4 linked regions of the Caenorhabditis elegans genome follow. The protein of the gene in region 2 interacts with the protein of the main gene of each other region in a pairwise test. Each region holds a gene or a part of one and is shown on either strand. Other genes may lie near its edges. The genes, in order: chp-1, cfim-1, cfim-2 and eef-1G.

Region 1 (3,617 bases), 3.5 Mb from region 2:
ACCTGCACAACTGCCTTGTTCTTTGAAGACTCCAGAACCTGTCCCATTCGAATTTGTCCATTTGGAAGTGTGATCTTTACGATTTCATTGAACATTGGAAATTTAACATTGTGAACGATGACAAGTGGTCCATTGACTCCGAAAACAGTTTGATATGTCTGAAATCTTGAACATATTTTCATTTTCCAGAAATTTTGAACTTACCAATTTAGGTTTCGTGGAGTAATTTTGAATCAACGCGGTTCGGTGATTGGTGATTGGAGTGTTGACATCAATTGGTCCTTTGATATCGGAAAGATTAATCTCCGATGCTTCTGTCATATTTTGAATAATGAAAACTTGTCGAACAAATTTTGAAAATATTGGCGTTGCATTCACGTGTACGGTAATGACCTTAAAGGGACACGCCACGAATTTTTTTACTCGTGGCGAGACGACGAATAAATAATTTCAACTCGCTCTTGCGAAATTTTGGAAGTTTTAACAAAAACTATGAAGGTAACAAACGCATATTTTATATTTATGAAGCAAAAAATTAGAAAAAAACTAAATTGTCATTTATAGTGGGATCTCTCGGAAGAAAGAAGAAGAAATCCTACTGGCTATGAAGAAAATGGTTATCGCCATGATTTAAAATTATTCAGGTTCATAGAAGATCAATGTGGGATTGGGAAACGGTTTGGGAACAAATAGAAAGATATGTTTGATGGAAATTAAAATCAAAGTTTAAGCTTCTTCATCATTTTTTGCATCCAGTTCAGGATCAAATTTGAGACGAGGCCATCCGGTTCCGTGTTTTTGTTTCAATGAAATTTCGACCTTTCTTTCGCCAATGACAACACGACTTTCCTCGGGAATAACTTCATCCCATAAATCGTAATCGAGATCCACGCTTGCATTTCCAAATCCGTGCTTCATACTCACTCGAACGGTGTGACCATCGGAAACGATGTTTGCGGTTTCGGGTAGAGCACCTCTACAATACACGTTGATGGTGACAAATCCATTGCTCGAAAACCAATCTTCTCGGAATTTGCTGACAATTTCATTCTGAAAAACGCCGATTTTTTTTTGAAGTTTTGAAGTTTTTTCAACTCACATTTCTGAACTTATGTTCGCCTGAAGTGCAGCCCACTTGCTCAAGGAAAGCTCCAAAATTAGAAGTTTTCTTGTTACAACACGACCAATACTTCATTCCTTCGTGGAAAATGGCAGCTCCAGGGTGATGCTGACAGTTTTCCTTGTTTTTCGATCCATCGAATTCAGTAGAACATCCATTGTTTCGACATGGGGCGCCAATTTGAATATCCGCACTTTGAGCAGCTTCAGATATTTCTTTCAGCTTTTTCTCAATAGCTGCGGTTGCTCCAGGCGTCACTTCAACCTGCAATACGTGTTTGTTATAAAAAATTTAATTTAAAAATACAAACATTCAAATTTTGCTCAATTCTCTTTGTCGCATCCTTGCTATCCAATTTTCCAGATTTATTGAGCCCTTTCCAAACAATAACATCTTCTTCTTTCTCTGGTCGAATTTCCTTTACCGCGGCAACTTTTACAATATCGACTGGTTTTTCATTGCTGTGTTTTCCACGCGTACATCCTTTATAATTCATCCATGTACCGAAATCAGTACTTTTCTTATCACAACATGTCCAAATCTTGTATGCATCATGGAAATACGGACCCCCAGGGTGATATGTACAAGCTTCTGAAAAATTAAACTGATTTTTTTTATTTTCCAATTAATCTTACCGTTGTCATTCTCCTTGGGATCGAAAAGGAGACCGCATCCTTTATGATAGCACTGCAGTTTACTTTCGTCAACCATCTAAAAATGCAAAAGCGATTTTTTTTCTGAAGATTTCGGCTTAATAATCCAGTTTTCCCCCAAATGCTCGAGAAAATTCGAGACTCCGCCCATTGCAATGTTGCGGCACACTCCTTCTTTTTTCCAGCACTCTCGCTTGACCAAATAATCAAAGATTTGCACGGACAACAACAAGGTGAATTAAAGAAAGCAAAATTTAAAAATACAAATATTTAATTTTCACCGACGTTTGAGATAGGAATATGGGTGATAAGAAATAAAACCAGACAATAAATTAAACGGGTGGGAGGATGGTTTACAATACAGTCTTGAAAGATTATTTCAAAGGCAATAGATTACTTCTTCTCAGCAGTCTCAGCTTCCTTTTCTTTCTTCTCGTGCTCAGCAATCAGAGCATCGACTTCCTTGGTGGTGAGCTCTTCGAGCACAGTCTTTCCATCACGACGAGTCAAAACAGCCATCTCAACTTTCTCGGAAGCGAGCTTCACATCCAAAGTCTTCCAGAGAACCTTGATAGCCAACTGCTTTGCTTCTTCAAGATTTGGGGATTTGTACTCCTGTTTCAACAAGGTTACGGCAGCCTGGTGGTTGCTTCCGATGCAGGTTGCCTTCCATCCAGTGTAGTTTCCGGAAGGATCAGATTGGTAAAGTTGATATCCGTAGTGCTTATCCCATCCGATATAGAGAAGTGACACTCCGAACGGTCTCTTTCCTCCTGAAAATCATATTAATAGAAATCAAGAGAGAAGTTATCAACAAACCAATCTGCGTGTATCTCTGCTTTTCATTGCAAAGATTCTGGACGAGCTGCTCAACTGGCATTTCCTCTCCGTAACTGTTACGATAGCTGGCAGCCCACCATCTCAAGTGGTTGATGAGGATGTTCGCGTCGGCGGTGATACCAGCGACAGTGCACGAGATGTTGTCCGAAAGACGGTAGACCTTTTCAGTCATGACAGAATCATCCAGCAACTTGTGAACGTTCTTTCTCTCAGCAGCAACGACGATTCCTTCCGATGAGAGAATGCCGAGGCAAGTTCCAGCATGGCTGATAGCCTCCATAGCATATTCGACTTGATACAGTCTTCCCTCCGGAGAGAAGATGGTCGTTCTACTATCGTAACGACGGGCCATTCTCTGAAAATATAAAGATAATCTAGACAAATATGATTTTAAAATATAAACGGCAGAAACCTATAGAAAAATTACATAAAACAAGAAGAATCTCTCAGTCCTCGACAAAAAGGATGACTTGAAAATTTTTTCGCGCATGAGCGCATTTGCATTTTTGTATTTCTCGGCCGTGGCCGAACTTATTTGTTTTCAAGTTGTCAACGTTTATTTTTATTTTTTTATCTAATTTTGTCAAAACATCAATGAAATGGCGTATATTTCTGAAAATGAGCTGAAATTTCTACGACTTCTCGAGCGAACAAAGCGCTTGACAAAAGAGGATATGTCAGCAAACGTTTGGAAAGCAAGTATCACATTTTAAGTTCTGTTTAATTAATTATTTTTCTTATTTCAGGTTTCTGCAGCTACAAAGATTCTCAATAAAATGATTTATACACTTCAAAACGATGAGTGAGTTTTTCAAAATACATTTTTTAATATTTATAGTTTTACTTTTCCAGAACCACAAATGATATTCTCCACGAGTACCGACAGGAAGTCTTGCAACTGAAATTACTCGCTGAAGCTGAAAGCAAGGTTTGTAGATATTTTAGACAAGCAAATTCGATCTTGTAATTTTGCTTTAAAGATACAAATTTTTACATAATTTCTA
Region 2 (3,543 bases):
TTTATTTCTTTGAGTTTGTTATTTCTCAATGTATTTCTAAATGTGAATTGAAAGTTTTGTGAGCCGTTCATCCATTTTGAACGAAAAATTCGCTATATTCAATCTGAAACACTGAAACAACAACGTCCGTATCAAGAATTAACAATATGAAGTTTGATAGGTAAGTTAGTTTTCTTTCTTTAGTTACTTCTTTAGTTACGTTTTCTTTAGTTACTTTTCTATTGTATTTTATTTCCTGCTTAAATTAAAGAGGCATGAGTCTCGCGCATGGGTCTCACCACGCTAGCAACTTTTTTAAAAATAATGTCAGAAATTATCATTTAATTTGAATATCAAGATTCAATTACAATAACTGGTTGTCCGCGTGGCGAGACCCAAGACCGTAAGATATGGCGTATTTTCTCAACTTCTACGTAATATGAAATATTCTTTCAGAATTTCCATCGAAACAAGCGTCTTCACAGTGTTTTGTATACAAGCCACGATCTGCATAATTTGTTTCATCATATTTGTTGTTGGAAGAATTAAATTACAACGAATGAAAATGAAGAAATAATTTATTTTTAAATTCATACTAACGATTTGAGAGATCATACATAACAAAATCGAAGATTTGGTAGGAGCAAAATTAGAGTGAACAAGGTCATTTACAAAATAGGAAGACACAAAAAGTAACAGATAATAAAAATATTTAGTTGGAGTCATTGAAAATGAAATTAAATCTCGAAAGAGTGGTTGGAAGAGAGGAAATCAGTGGTCCATAGGCGGCTGCGTTGTCATAAAGTTCAAAGAGTGGAGCTGCGACGAGTTTGAAGTTTTTGGGAACGCAGAATGTTGCTGAAATGTACAAAACATTAAACTGCTTAGGTTTCAATTAGGGAAAAAATTCGAAGACACTTTAAATTTTGATCTTATCAATTTTTCAGTCTCTTACATTTTGAGGGCAACTGAACAAGCAACAGCTTGGTGTGCTCCTTGGGTTTTGTCACGTGCGCAGGGATGTACGGGTAACGGGGAGGATCAAAGTTTGGTCGCCACCAGTTGCCTATCTCATCCTCGATTGTCCATTCGTTTGTCTCCCCATCGGTTCTTCCGAGTGTCTCGTTTAGAAGACGTGTGACTCCAGATATCTCATCCTCACCAAGTTCCAATTCTCCACCCGGCCTGCAATTTTTTTATGAAACTTTCAGATTTTAATAGGAATTAATCTCACAATTTATAAAAGGTGGTACCAATCTGCAGGAGTAGGATATGTGGAAGTGAGTGCTCATGAACAATAAGCACCGCTTCAACTGATCTACGCATTCCCATCTAAAAAAATAATTGATATCGGTTGGAGACAATTAGAGAACACCTACCACTTCATATTCGTCTTTCATTCGTTTGAACCTTTCTGGAACTGATTTGTCTTTTTCTGCTTGTGCATCTTTAGTACCAAATGTGTAATTAGTCAACGGATACACGTTGATTGTTCGATTGAACGGAGGTTTTTCATCAAAGTTCGCTGGAGCCTCGGGCACAGATGCTGAAATTGTTGTTCTTTCGATTGTTGGCCAGATGTCTTCCATTTTAACTGAAATTATATTTAAATTTTGAACCAATTTAGAGTACACAATTAAATATTGACGAAGAGCAAATTAAAAAAAATGAATTGAAAACTGGAAAAAATTGTTTGAAAACAAAATTACAAAAAAAATGTACAGATGGCCTAGAAACAGTTTGTCCATGGGGCGCGGTTGCAACGTGTGAAAACTAGTCCGTCTGAATCAAATTTATAAAATTTTCACGCCTTTATCGTAAAAATCTAAAAAACAACAATATTTTGTTCATTTCTATAATTTTTGACCGTCTAAAACGAACATCTCAATGAGAAACTAGTTAAGACGCAGACGTCAAAGAACGCTCGCCTATCAACTACTAGCCAGTCACATTTTAAGTGTAAACAATCGGTAAGGAAGATAAAGAGACGCCAGAGAAAAATCACACATCACTTTTTTCATTACTCTTCACCTTGAAATTCTTTGCTCCCAGTATGATACTCTAGACATTCTTTGAAATTTCGTTTTTGAATCGTTTTGTTATGTTAATTATGTGAATTTATATCCAATAACACATGATGATCTTGCAGATAAATCGTTGACTTTGTATCATTCCAACTAGAAAAACCAGCAAAGACTCGTGATTTTTTTGCAATTTTCATGCCGCACGACTCAAATGAGGTAAGATTTTAAATAAATTTTGGAACATCTCTGTCATAAAATCATATTTTCAGGGAAAACAGAGGCCCAGTGTCGTTTTGTCACTATCCGCAGGCGCGATCGCCGGAGCTTTAGCCAAAACTACAATCGCACCTTTGGATCGAACTAAAATTTATTTTCAAGGTAAGAATTATGTCACTTCGAAACAATCGAAAATACACCTAATTTTTTGTATGTTCCAGTTTCAAGTACACGTGGTTACTCATTCCGATCTGCCATTAAATTCATAAAACTAACATATCGGGAAAATGGATTCTTTGCATTGTATCGTGGAAATTCTGCGACGATGGCTCGTGTTGTGCCATACGCGTCGATGCAATTCGCAGCCTTCGAGCAGTATAAAAAATTGCTGAAAGTTGACGAAAATGGGTGAGTTTTAAAGTTTTTTTCACACCGAGGTGGCAAATTTAACTTCAAAATGTTAATTTCCAGAAGTCGAACACCCGTGAAACGATATATAACAGGTTCTCTTGCCGCCACAACAGCTACAATGATCACTTATCCTTTAGACACCGCAAAAGCTCGTCTTTCAGTCTCTTCAAAATTACAATATAGTTCTTTGAAACATGTTTTTGTAAAAACATATAAAGAAGGTGGTATTCAACTATTGTACAGAGGGATTTATCCAACTATACTAGGTAGGAATTCTTATGAAAAACATCTTTCTTATCGATTTTTGTTGATTACAGGAGTAATACCATACGCTGGATCTTCCTTCTTCACATACGAAACTCTTAAGATTATGTATCGAGATCATAGAGGTGAAGTTGTGAGTTGAGAAATTATTTCTATACGTTATTATGTATGATAATTCAGGAAAATTCCTACTACCGAATGTTATTTGGAATGTTAGCTGGTTTGATCGGTCAATCATCGTCATATCCACTCGATATTGTGAGAAGGCGGATGCAAACAGGGCGAATTCCGAGTGGATGGAGTCCTCTTAGAGCTCTAATTCATATTTATCATACGGGTATGACTATTTTTTGAATTATAGTTTTTTTTAAACCTTACTATAATGACAATATAGTTCTATCAGAAATGGGCGGTTGCAATTAAACAAAATAACCTGCTTGTTCCAACATTTTTTTAATTGAAATTCAATGTCAAAGTATAGAAAATCACTTGATGTGTCCGAAAATCAAATTAATTCCAGTTGAAAAATTTGAGAAAGTGCTTAAAAATGATCTGAAAGTTGTCAATTACTGATTATCGAGTTATCTAACTTTGTTTTTGGGCAAATATCAACTTTTTGGATAATTTAAGTGATTTTCTATACTACGAT
Region 3 (6,381 bases), on a different chromosome or scaffold from region 2:
GCCAAAATTGATTAAAAAAAGAAAATTACTTGAAAATTGGTGAAATTGGCAAAACTACTTTAAAACGTTTGGATTTACAGATTTGCCGCCAAATACCTAACGAGACCCTAGGTTCGGGGGCGGAGCGTTTTGTTTCCATTTCGAAAGTTTATTTTCTGCGTCCTCATTTATCTGAATTTTTGAATTTAATTTTGGGTTAAGCTCTCAAATGTCCGAAAACCAACTAATTATATCCATTTTTTCCAAGTATTCACCTATAAATATCTTTAAAACCTCCAGCTGCAATGAATCCTTGTTTAGATTGCATTCTTGATTTAATTGTATCCAATGGATATAATCCAATATCAACTGCTAAACCAGCTGTCGCCCCACACACGAGCCATCGTACCACCGATCCTTCTTCTGATGGCATCCTAAATTACTCCATATTTAAAATATCCAATTCATTCTAGAGGTACTACATCAGTCGACAAATTCGACTTCATGGGAAAGGAAGCAATGAAAACACATTTCTTATTTGCAATTTATTAAATTAAACAAAACTTTTAAAGACAACGTTTATAAAAGATAATCCAATAGTGAGCACTGATGAGAAAATGTGTACACGAATCATTGTTGAGTTGGAAGATAGCCAGTATTCTGAAATATGAACATAAGTTTTTTTTATTTTGCTTGAAACACATTCTGAAAGCAATGATTTCAACCATGTAAATGCGAGGATCAGGAAAAATAAAAGGAAGCACTCACGAAAATGAGACCAGGGATTTTGGATAAGTGAATAAATACAATAAAAAATATTGGCTTACCAATTAAATTCTTATTGAAGAATTGAAACGGGATTCACAACACAATTGTCAACAAATTCAATGAATTTTCATCGAATGTGCTCGAATTACAATTAATCATTTAAAATGTTTGGAAATTTTAGAAAACAAAATGTGAATTTCAGATCAAGAAAAAATTTCTGTTGAGAGGATTTTGCGGGGATTTTTTTTGACGATTCCGATTTGAACTCGATGCCACGTGGATGCTGCTGGACCTGTTGGAAAATACAATTGAAATGAGATAAAAAAATACAATAGAAAATATCAGCTATGCTTATTTCTTCACATTATCACTGACATTACAATTAATGCCTAAAACTTTTAAATTTTTTGACAAAAAGGATTAACAAATAATTTTCAAATTATCATTTCAGCTGAAACCTATCAAATTTCAAGACGTAAGTGAATAAACAAAACTACATTTAAAGGACAAAATATAGAATTAAACACATAGGAAGCTTAAATGATAAAAACAACTAACACCATTAAAAATCTATTTCAATCAAAAAAAATATCAATTTCACATTATAGAATCAATGCTTACCCAAACCCAAGCTTATTTTAAATGAAAATATTACAATTTTAATGTGCTCTCAATAAATACTAGCAAAATGTTACAAATTTCATAGCATACTTTTTTCGAAATACTCCCGATACAACTGAAATTTCGAAATGACCCAATACTTGAGGAGTTACATTCAAAACGATTTTAAATAGAACAATGAAAGGTAATTGAAAGAACAAATCTGAAAATCAATTAAAAAGTCAAAAACTTACAATTTTAGAGTACAAGTGAGCAGATCCCGTATGCAAGTGAGAATAAATCGAAATCGACCAGTGAACATTGAGAATGAAATTTAGAGATTATATAACATTTTTGGATCTGAAAAATTGAAAATTGTTTTGTGCAAAAGCAAGCATCGGCATTACCAAATTGTTGAAAAAGTGAAAATTGAAGAGTAAAATAGAAATAATCTTGAATTTGAAGAAAGTCGTGTTATTTAATAACGACGACGGCGTGGAGATGGTGACCGCGAGTATGAGCTAAAAAAATATTTTTTCAAAAAAAATTGTTGCTCCAAAACGAACCGTGAGCGAGTGCGACTGCGTCTTCTTCTTTTGCGATCTCTTTCGCGACTTCTTGAACGATCACGATGTGATTTTGAACGAGACGAATATCCTTTTGATTCAAGGCCTTTGAGTGTGTGCTGGAAAATATATAATTATGAAAAAAAATTGCGATTTACTTTGTATTTCTGTAAAGGTGGAGTATGGTCGTTGTGAAATTTTGTATCAAATGAAAGAAAAAAGCCATAATGACCATATTGAGATAACTGTTTAAAAACTTAATTAAATTTCTGAATTTTTGATGGTTTTTTTTTTCAAATTTGCATAAATGTTTAGATTCATCGGTTTTTCTTGATTTTTTCTTTGATATTTGATTTGAAACACCGTTTTTTTTAGATTTATAAATTAAATTTTAAATCACTGATATGTTAGCAAAAAAGTTTTGTTTCAGTAAATTTATTTCTTATCAATTAAGTTTTTCTTACAGAGACATAACTAATAAATTGACAAACGATGAAAAATTTTTTATCGAGTTTTTTATCGAAAAATCATAAAAAATCGAACATTTTTTAACGGTCATTAAGGTCCATTTTCTATCATTTAAACTTCAATGGAAATTAGAGTTTTGCTCAAGAAGGATTTTTTTTAAACGTACTTCCAATCCATAAACCAATTGTCTGCATCTTTCATCATGTCCAATTCGACTGTTTTTAATCAATTGAATTGCTGTCAATATAGTCTCAGATGCTCCTTTAATATCTCCAACAGATGCATCAGTTATTGCTCGAGCTATAGCTGACGATGATACAGTTTGATTTCTTGTCATTACATCTTCGAACTCAGCGTCAGATAAAACTGTTCCTTGAAGTCCGGGGAACATCTGAAAATAATAAAATTATCATTCAAAATTATTTTTAGTTTTCAAAAAACCATTACCTGTGGATTGACATGGACTGGTGGAAGACCGTTGATAGGAGGACGCATAGCTGTATTCATTTGCATAAGTGGCTGAACACCCATTGAACCAAGTTGTGGTGGTCTAGAACTATTTGGAAATGAAAAAGAATGATAGAGGATTATTATACGATTACCTATTCTGGAATTGATTATTCATTGGAGGTGGTGCATTCATTCCCATCATTGGTTGTATTCCCATTGATGTTTGCATCATTGGTCGAACTTGTTGTCCCATCATCATTTGAGGTTGTTGTTGAATTTGTTGATTCATTCCACCTAATGGTCCATTTCCTAACATTGTTTGTTGTGGCACAGGAGCACGGTTCATTAATGGAACTTGTTGTCCGTTGATTTGTAATCGCATTTGAGGAGCTTGATTTAGATTGCTTGGCAGAGATGTAGGTTGGCTCATCAAAGGAGTTGGTCGAACTTGCTGCATCATGAGAGGTGGAGGTCCAGATCTACCAGAGACACTTGTTCCAGTTCGACCAGTTTGCCCTCCAGCTCCAATACGAATAGTTCCCATATTGACACATCCTTCTTCGAAACCCTGCCAAATTAAAAATGTTCATAATTAGTATAACTTTTCGAAAACTTTATTAAAAAGTGATAAATTGTTCGGATGAACTTTTAACGCACACCCTTCAGAAGGTGGACGCCGGTAAGACTCCGAATCAATATTGCACCTGCTACCAGCTCATGATCATAAAGACAAAACACCGCTGAGTTTCTAGGCGCGGGCGGGAATCGATCACGCGGACTGCTGACTGACAGCCAACTGCGCAACCGACTGCGCTTCCCTCGACGACCACAAGTACCAAGTGGAAAACGTTTATATCGGTGCGCCGTGGAGTAGCAGAGAGTCACAGCACTAATTTCAACGATAGTGTTATATTCTCTTTTTTTACCTTTTTCTTGACGTCTGGACGGGTCTGATTTTTTGCTTGCGCATCTTCCAGCTTTGCCTGATTCGTTTTATTGTACGACAAAACAGTTGGACTTTGGCCATGGATAGTTTTAGTTGGGAGAATCTCCATAGTTTGTTTTACCGCTGCAATGAAATAAAGTTTTTAGAAATATCTTGTTAGTTTCTACTAACCAGCATCAGAATTCAAAACCAATAAAGCATATCCCTTGCTTTGTCCATTCGTTCTGTTCTCGAAAAACTTCATGTCAGCGAATTGAGATCGTGCAAGGCCGGTGGATTGAAGAGCTTTCTGGACAAAATTTATTGAAGACATTCAGTTTTACAGTCACTTACCAATAAATCAGCATCTGTAGTATACCAGAGAAGGTTTCCCACGTAGCAGCAATATTTTCTTCCTTCCGAAGACGTCGCTGGTTTTGCACCAATTCCAGCAGTTGGAGCAGTCACAGTGGTGATTGTTGGTGAAACAGGTTTTGCTGATTCCGTCTAAAATAAAGAATTATAAGGATTTAATAAGAATTCATTAGAAAACTCACTGAATTTGTGGGTGCAATCGCTTCATCGTACAGATCGTCAATATCTTCTTCCTTGAGCTCTTTTCTGGATCAAAAAATAAATTTTTAGCATTTTCTTTTTTCATTAAAGTATTTACCCATCCAGCAACGCATTCTCGTCTATGGGACCATCATGTTGTTCGTTACCGTCACCTAACAACGCTGCTTCGTCCAATTCAGCCATCAATCCTCAAACAAACAACGGTTACATGAATTTTAAGAGAGAAAATTAAAAAGTCAAAATTCAATTGTCTTCTAACAGAATAAGTGAACAATTATTTAATTAATCGATAAAATCAAAAAATATTTATTAACGCAACATGGGTGGGGCGTGCACGCTAAACAACAAGCGTGTCTGTTCAACGGAGTGTCGTTTGCAAATGTCGATTTACGAAAAAAAAAATTGATTTTGAAAAACATTTTTTTAAAAATATTTTTGAAGTTAAGCTTTTACAGTTTTCATCATGAATGACGGATATAAGCAAAACGATATAGTAAATCATGAAGCTTATGAAGAACTTGAAGTCGCAGAAGAGGTAACTCATTCTCCCATTTCAAATTAAATATTTATTTTCAGCAAATAATTTACTGTCAGGAGGAGTACAACGATGGTCCGGGTACTATGGTTCAAGTTCAAGAACAGACAGATGTGCCATGTTATGTTATGGAAGGAACTTATTTTACACCTGAAAATATATATGCTGCTAATCAAGACCAGTAAGTAAATCAATTAGCCGAATCCGCAAAGATTTGAAAATTTTGCAGTTCGGTGTGTCATTTCTGTAAAGAAGATCTCACAAATAAACGATTTTACAATCATTTATTTGATCATCATGGCTTCACGAAGCAGCAATGTGAAATGATGAAACAGCAAAAACGACTCGGGAGACCAAATGTATATTTCAATTATCTAAATTTGAAAATCAAGTTAATTTTCAGCCGAAGCGAAAATCGTTGCATTCTTGTGAAAATTGTGGAATGGAGTTTATCACAAAGACAGGATTAACGAGCCATTTAAAAAAAGATAATAGCCCGTGTGCGCGTGTTGACGAAATGGCTGTTGGAGGATCGTCTGTGAGCAATATCGTTTGTCCAAGTTATGGATGTGATAAAAAGTATTGACTTTTATAAAAAAGAAACATATTCAGTCTCTAAATATTTTAGTGTTCCTACATATTTGGATCTGGCGATTCACGTCGACACCGAACATCGAGATCTTTCGAGGGCAACTGATTCATTCCGAATTCGAAGAGTGACTTTCCAAGATAAAGCTGGATTTATGGTATGTATTATTTGATTATTTGCAACTATTTAACATTTTCAGAAGTGGAAAAAGCAAATGGAAAAATCGACGAATTCGGAGTTTTTCCTTAGGACTTCGCAAAAAGTATCATTTGCTATTCGGACAATGCTCTATAAATGCCTGTTTTCAAATTCTCGAGGGCAATCGAAAGGCAGAAGATGTGAGCAGTGTCCTGCATTTATTAAATGTTGTATGAGAAATCATGGGCAATACGAAGTTGTCGCCTGTTTCGGGCATCTTGGACATGAACACCCAACTGAAACCGAGATTGCTAGACAGATGAGAATCGAGAAATATCGAGAGATTGACGCAGTGAGTTTTCATTTTATAAAAAGTACGAGATTACTTATACCAGTATCAATTTTCAGCTTCAAGTACGAGAATCTCGAATGCATAATCAACATCACATGAATGTTCGCCCAAAGCAAATAATTGTTGATCAATACGGACACCCTACTCACCCAAACGATGAAATGATGATTCTGATGCCGGTAGGAGAAGAAGTCGTTGAAGAAGATGCATTCACAAGCGTCGTAGTAGATGACGCTGATGATGAGATAGTAGGGCCACGTGCTCAACAGGAAACACCAGCTTTAACAAGACAAGTCTATATTCCAACTTCAAATCATCACGCGAGCTCTTCTCATTACTAGACAATGATACCTGTTATAGTTTCTTTTTGATTGTAAAAAACAGTTAATTATATCAAGAATTTCTCCATTTCCTAAACAAATTTCATACTTAAAT
Region 4 (4,488 bases), on a different chromosome or scaffold from region 2:
CAATAATATCTAAATAACAGACACCGGATGAGCACTTTGCCACCTGCTGCTCACTTCTCGAAGTTGAATCATCTTGCACAGATTTATGCTCATATTCTACGTACTCATCAGAAGAAGTCAGTGCAGTGTTTCTTCAACAATCAGTGTGCCCAGTGACTGCAATTCAAAAGATTCATTTTTGTGCGGCACGAGGAACAAACCACACGGAATGCTGCTCCAAATCATTAGTTCCAATACACTGTCACTCTTTCTGCGATCAGGTTTGAGAGACATTTTACTGACACGCAATGATTTTTACAGAGTCAAGATAGTGATGTCAATAGCCTCTCAATCAACCATTTGCAATGTGTACAATATTTCAACGACATCAAATCTTGCTTTTTGGAACACGCAAATCAAGAATATTTCGAAGGACACATCGAGGACTATACGACGACCGAAAACGAAGAAACAAGCTTAGGAGCTAATTTTTAAATCTAAAATTATTTAGGAACACTTATAGACGAATAAATTCAATCTCAACTTGAAGAAGATATAATTTATTGAAGTGATACCGGGTCCTTTATAAACAATAGAAAACAATTTATTCTTTCCGACTCAGAGTAAACAACAGGATTAAATGGCAAATACACCGGGTTGTATGGAAACTCCAGTTTACTTGAAAATCTTTCCTTGGTTGAACTTCTTTCCTCCGAAGTCTCCCTCCCACATAAGATACTCGTTGACTTCCTTCTTGGTGGCATCGGACTTGGCGTCAAGCTTTGTCCAGGTGTACGATTCGTAATCAACCTGAAATATATTATTGTGAAAACTATCGAGAATTCATAAAATTGTTGCTTTCAGTTTAGAGGTAATTGCTCATTAAATAAACAACTCCAACGAGAAGAAGCACTTATATACGAAAAGTGTAACTCTGTATAAGTGTATCACGTATACAAATGACTACTCTTCGACATTCAAAATCGAGGAAATGGTCCTACCTGCCAGTCTGGGCTGAGTTCGAAGGCGAGCTTGTCACCCTTCCACACCCAGATTCCTGAGATGGTCGAATTGTTGTCGGTTCCGAAAAGAATCATGGAGGCGAAAGCATTCTTCTTCAACTTCTCCAGTCTTTGGTACATTCCATTGATAAGGTTACAGCTCATGAAGGCGAGAGTGAGATCTTCTGGGTATTTGTACTCGCACTTCCAGATGGACCAGTTGTCAGCATCGAAGTTCTCCCAGAAGTGTGGGATAGCCTTGGTAGCGGTGTCTTCGTTGGAATAAGATCTCTTGAAATTGTCAAGAACGAATGTTCCCTTTGGCATATCTTGGAATGGATCCTTGCTCTTCTCCTCCTTTGGTTCATCGTCCTCTGGCTGGGCAGCCGCAGCAGCTGGCTTGGCCTCTTTCTTTGGCTTCTCGGCCTTTGGAGCAGACTTGGCGACTTTAGCGCTGAGCTCAGTGAACTTGGCTTCTGTAAAATAAGAATAAAATTTAAACTGGGAATACAAAATCAGAAGTTTTTTTATAAAATTAGATTTCTTTTTAAATGTGTGGGACATAAACTAAGGTAACTTAGAATTGACTGCAGGACAACCCTGTAAACGACCAGTGCTAAATTTCCAACTCTCAGTCCCATGAAAAACGTTCCGAACAAAGCAAAAACAAAAACTGTTTCAAGCAAAGACGGTGTACATAAATCTTGATATTCCACCACTGTAACGCCTACTAATCGATTGACTAGTCTGCTGACTTCGCAGTGGAACAAAACAAATTCACACTAACAAAAAAGAAACTTACGGTTGAATTGAGCAACCGATGAGGCAAGGGAAACTTCTCCAAGAACCTCCTTAACAGCTGGCTGGTTAACAACGGTTCTGAACCAACGGGTGACGTTGACGATGGACTTTCTAGCGTTGGCATCAAGAACATACTGAAAATTAGGAGTGTATACATATAATCTGGGTCATAGTGTACTTGGAAAGCTGGGAGAAGATCAAGAGCAACGGAAACGTCGGCAAGAGAAAGACGTTCTCCAACCAAGTAGGTCTTTTTAACAAGAACACGATCGAGTACTTGGAGTTGTCCGTTGAGTTCATTCTTGTATTGTTCAACAGTCTTCTTGTCAAAGTTGGCTGCAGACACAGATGGAAGAACGTATCCGAGAACAGCTGGAAGAAGATAACCTTCTGCGAATTGAAGCCATTGGACAGTCTCGGCGTTAGCTGAGGTTCCAGTCAGGTGAAGTCCGATCGACTCAGCTCCGAAGAGAAGAGCATCTCCTTCAAATGCTGGGGTCTGAAATTCTGCACATTGATAGTTCACAGATCGTCAAATACTGACATCTAAATAAATTAAAACGTACAACTCCAAGTGGGAACTTGTCAGCTGGAGCAGCATCTCCGGCGAGGGTGACAGTCTTGTTGGCGAGCTTGGCAGCAATCAAAACCTTTTGGGTTCTGAAGTTGTCCTTGTTTCCATACAGTTTCTGCAAAATAAAAATCAATAATTGGTTAAATTTCGTCATTTCAAGGTTTGGCCTAATCATTTTTCAATGCAACGAACGGAAATCACGTTAACTATTCTTAACAGCACTGCAAATTTAATGAAATTAATTTTATAAACTTACTCCGGTCATGATGTCACCAACGAGTCGGAGAATCTAGTGAAGCGACGCTCAAAGAAGAGGCGCTTGAAAAGAGTGGTGTTCTTCAGAGGAAAAATACACTGAAAAGTCTGCGTATGTGCCCCTGGCAGAATGCCAGTACGCAAAACATAGGGGTTCTACGCAGTTCACTGGTCCATGGTTGCATTACACTTTTTTACCGCATTTCGGCGCCAAGAATCAGGTTTAAAATTTGCTCGCATTTTATTTATTTTTGATGAAAATAAATAATTTCACTCGTAATTCCATTGTTTTCAGATGAGCTTTACTAACGTTAAAAATTTGGAGAATATCGGCCTTCAAACTATCTGCATTGATGCTTCAGGAGAAGATACTGAAAATGTAGGATTTAAAACGATTTATAAACATATTTACCTGTTTTTTTCAGATTTACGTTTGTGATGCTGAACGAAATGTACTCAAGATCAATAAGAACGTGTTGCTGCAAGATGAAAAACCTGAAATAATCGAGATTCCCGATGCGACAACATCATCTATTGCTTGGTATGGAGAAAACATCTGTTTTGGTTACCGCAAGGTGGATTTCATTGTTGGATCCGAGCAGCAAATGGTGGGACGGGCGAAAAAGGGCAATTTCGAAGCAGGAGATATTATTGATCCTCTTGAATTCCAAATGGATGTCACAACGGTCGACGCAAACAGGGAAAATGTTATTGGAGGATCTAGCGATTATGCGGTTAAATGCACGAATATGAAAGATTTAGATGCAGAGCTGAAAACGAGAAGTCTTGAAGCTGAAGTTCTTTGTGTCAAACTGGATCCAAAAAATGAATTTGTGGCCGTTTCTACTGTGGATGGCAATGTGACTATTATAGACATTGATTCATTCTCGATTAAACACACACTGACCAAGGTTTTCCCAAGATTTGAAACAATTGAGTTAGTGTTTCATGTTATACTTCGGTTTTAAACAATGTCCTGTTTTTCAGTGTTTCACGACCTCGTATTCAACTCTCATGGTCAAAGGATGGTCAATGGCTGTTTGTTCCTTCAAAAGGATGTGTGAAATCGTACCGTCGAAATGGGTGGGAAGAATCTGGTGTATACCGTTTGAAAGATCATGCTTCTGTGGATTTTTCGGTTACTGCGCTTTCGCCGTGTGGGAAGTATCTTGCCTCCTCAACCATGGATAATCAAATTGCTGTTTGGAATAGTGATGAATTGTAAATTTAGGTAAATGTGTGAACTGATAAATAATACATTTTTTCCAGAGATATTGTGTGTTGTGAAAAATTCGTGAGAAATGCACCTGGTATCACTATCATCACTTCTATTGTTTTTTCTCCATTCTCCCCAAAAAAATTGATTGTCGCTGATTCAAATGTGAGTTTTTCCCTTTTCGAGCACTTTCAAGTAACAATATTTTAGAGAGGAATCTGTTTGTTTAATGTCTTCAAAGATGATTCATCTAACGAGAAGCCTGTTTCAAACAAAACTGAAGATGTTGCAGTTGATAGTGATGATGACGACTCAATCCTTTTGAATAGAACTTCACTCAAAAAAGATAGTTTATTCAATGAAGAAGCCATTGAAGAAGATGAAGATACCCGAAGTGAGGGATTGTAAATATAATTTCTCTTGATGTTTTAATTTTAGTGTCTTCCGATCTTGGAGCTATCAAACGACAATTCAATTATGGGAACCAAGATCTTGGAGGGCTTGAAGAATTCGGTTTTAAACTCGGTGAACCTGAGGAAATGCGACCGATGAGCTCGGACAGAAATTTGAATGATCCTCTCCCGCAAGTCTATTCTGATCCACCTGCTCCCCGAAAAGTTCTTATTCCTGAACGATTTGTATCTAACAGCTCTCCAATGGAT

The links.
Region 1: the proteins of cfim-1 (region 2) and chp-1 interact in a two-hybrid assay, tested with the Caenorhabditis elegans proteins (one large-scale study listed by BioGRID).
Region 3: the proteins of cfim-1 (region 2) and cfim-2 interact in a two-hybrid assay, tested with the Caenorhabditis elegans proteins (one large-scale study listed by BioGRID).
Region 4: the proteins of cfim-1 (region 2) and eef-1G interact in a two-hybrid assay, tested with the Caenorhabditis elegans proteins (one large-scale study listed by BioGRID).

What each region holds. Positions count from the first base shown.
Region 1 is NC_003279.8:5,103,081-5,106,697, forward strand, and holds chp-1 (Cysteine and histidine-rich domain-containing protein 1), read right to left. Parts: upstream 1,832-3,617; coding exon 1,756-1,831; intron 1,712-1,755; coding exon 1,431-1,711; intron 1,385-1,430; coding exon 1,100-1,384; intron 1,051-1,099; coding exon 727-1,050; 3' UTR 501-726; downstream 1-500. Other genes in the region: spe-5 (V-type proton ATPase subunit B 2), read right to left, coding at 1-158, 205-321; pas-3 (Proteasome subunit alpha type-4), read right to left, coding at 2,167-2,546, 2,593-2,965; use-1 (Vesicle transport protein USE1), read left to right, coding at 3,213-3,308, 3,360-3,415, 3,466-3,541. UniProt on the Caenorhabditis elegans protein: Regulates centrosome duplication. Controls the secretion of the tyrosine kinase receptor let-23/EGFR from the endoplasmic reticulum and is required for the localization of let-23/EGFR to the plasma membrane of vulval precursor cells.
Region 2 is NC_003279.8:8,613,418-8,616,960, reverse strand, and holds cfim-1 (Cleavage and polyadenylation specificity factor subunit 5), read right to left. Parts: upstream 1,574-3,543; 5' UTR 1,569-1,573; coding exon 1,359-1,568; intron 1,312-1,358; coding exon 1,214-1,311; intron 1,165-1,213; coding exon 935-1,164; intron 838-934; coding exon 692-837; 3' UTR 557-691; downstream 1-556. Other genes in the region: F43G9.21 (uncharacterized protein), read left to right, coding at 147-160, 436-556; slc-25A42 (Mitochondrial coenzyme A transporter SLC25A42), read left to right, coding at 2,199-2,219, 2,273-2,381, 2,441-2,627, 2,691-2,896, 2,948-3,027, 3,075-3,231.
Region 3 is NC_003282.8:8,924,474-8,930,854, reverse strand, and holds cfim-2 (RRM domain-containing protein), read right to left. Parts: upstream 4,528-6,381; 5' UTR 4,516-4,527; coding exon 4,430-4,515; intron 4,384-4,429; coding exon of another isoform or gene 4,378-4,383; coding exon 4,314-4,377; intron 4,264-4,313; coding exon 4,111-4,263; intron 4,067-4,110; coding exon 3,949-4,066; intron 3,901-3,948; coding exon 3,758-3,900; intron 3,714-3,757; exon of another isoform or gene 3,462-3,713; intron 3,400-3,461; coding exon 2,984-3,399; intron 2,938-2,983; coding exon 2,829-2,937; intron 2,773-2,828; coding exon 2,548-2,772; intron 2,033-2,547; coding exon 1,914-2,032; intron 1,869-1,913; coding exon 1,826-1,868; 3' UTR 1,755-1,825; intron 1,708-1,754; 3' UTR 1,602-1,707; intron 1,040-1,601; 3' UTR 807-1,039; intron 640-806; 3' UTR 614-639; coding exon of another isoform or gene 533-613; 3' UTR 509-532; downstream 1-508. Other genes in the region: slc-25A26 (Mitochondrial carrier protein PET8), read right to left, coding at 255-412; D1046.18 (uncharacterized protein), read right to left, coding at 533-613; D1046.2 (C2H2-type domain-containing protein), read left to right, coding at 4,796-4,867, 4,909-5,048, 5,097-5,226, 5,271-5,446, 5,496-5,613, 5,656-5,946, 6,003-6,287.
Region 4 is NC_003283.11:10,963,957-10,968,444, reverse strand, and holds eef-1G (putative elongation factor 1-gamma), read right to left. Parts: upstream 2,727-4,488; 5' UTR 2,621-2,726; coding exon 2,612-2,620; intron 2,471-2,611; coding exon 2,348-2,470; coding exon of another isoform or gene 2,326-2,347; intron 2,281-2,325; coding exon 1,960-2,280; intron 1,916-1,959; coding exon 1,783-1,915; intron 1,748-1,782; exon of another isoform or gene 1,530-1,747; intron 1,457-1,529; coding exon 981-1,456; intron 956-980; exon of another isoform or gene 829-955; intron 790-828; coding exon 655-789; 3' UTR 523-654; downstream 1-522. Other genes in the region: dbd-16 (DB domain-containing protein), read left to right, coding at 21-260, 301-474; ctf-4 (WDHD1/CFT4 second beta-propeller domain-containing protein), read left to right, coding at 2,906-2,989, 3,036-3,547, 3,598-3,831, 3,880-3,991, 4,037-4,220, 4,265-4,488. UniProt on the Caenorhabditis elegans protein: Probably plays a role in anchoring the complex to other cellular components.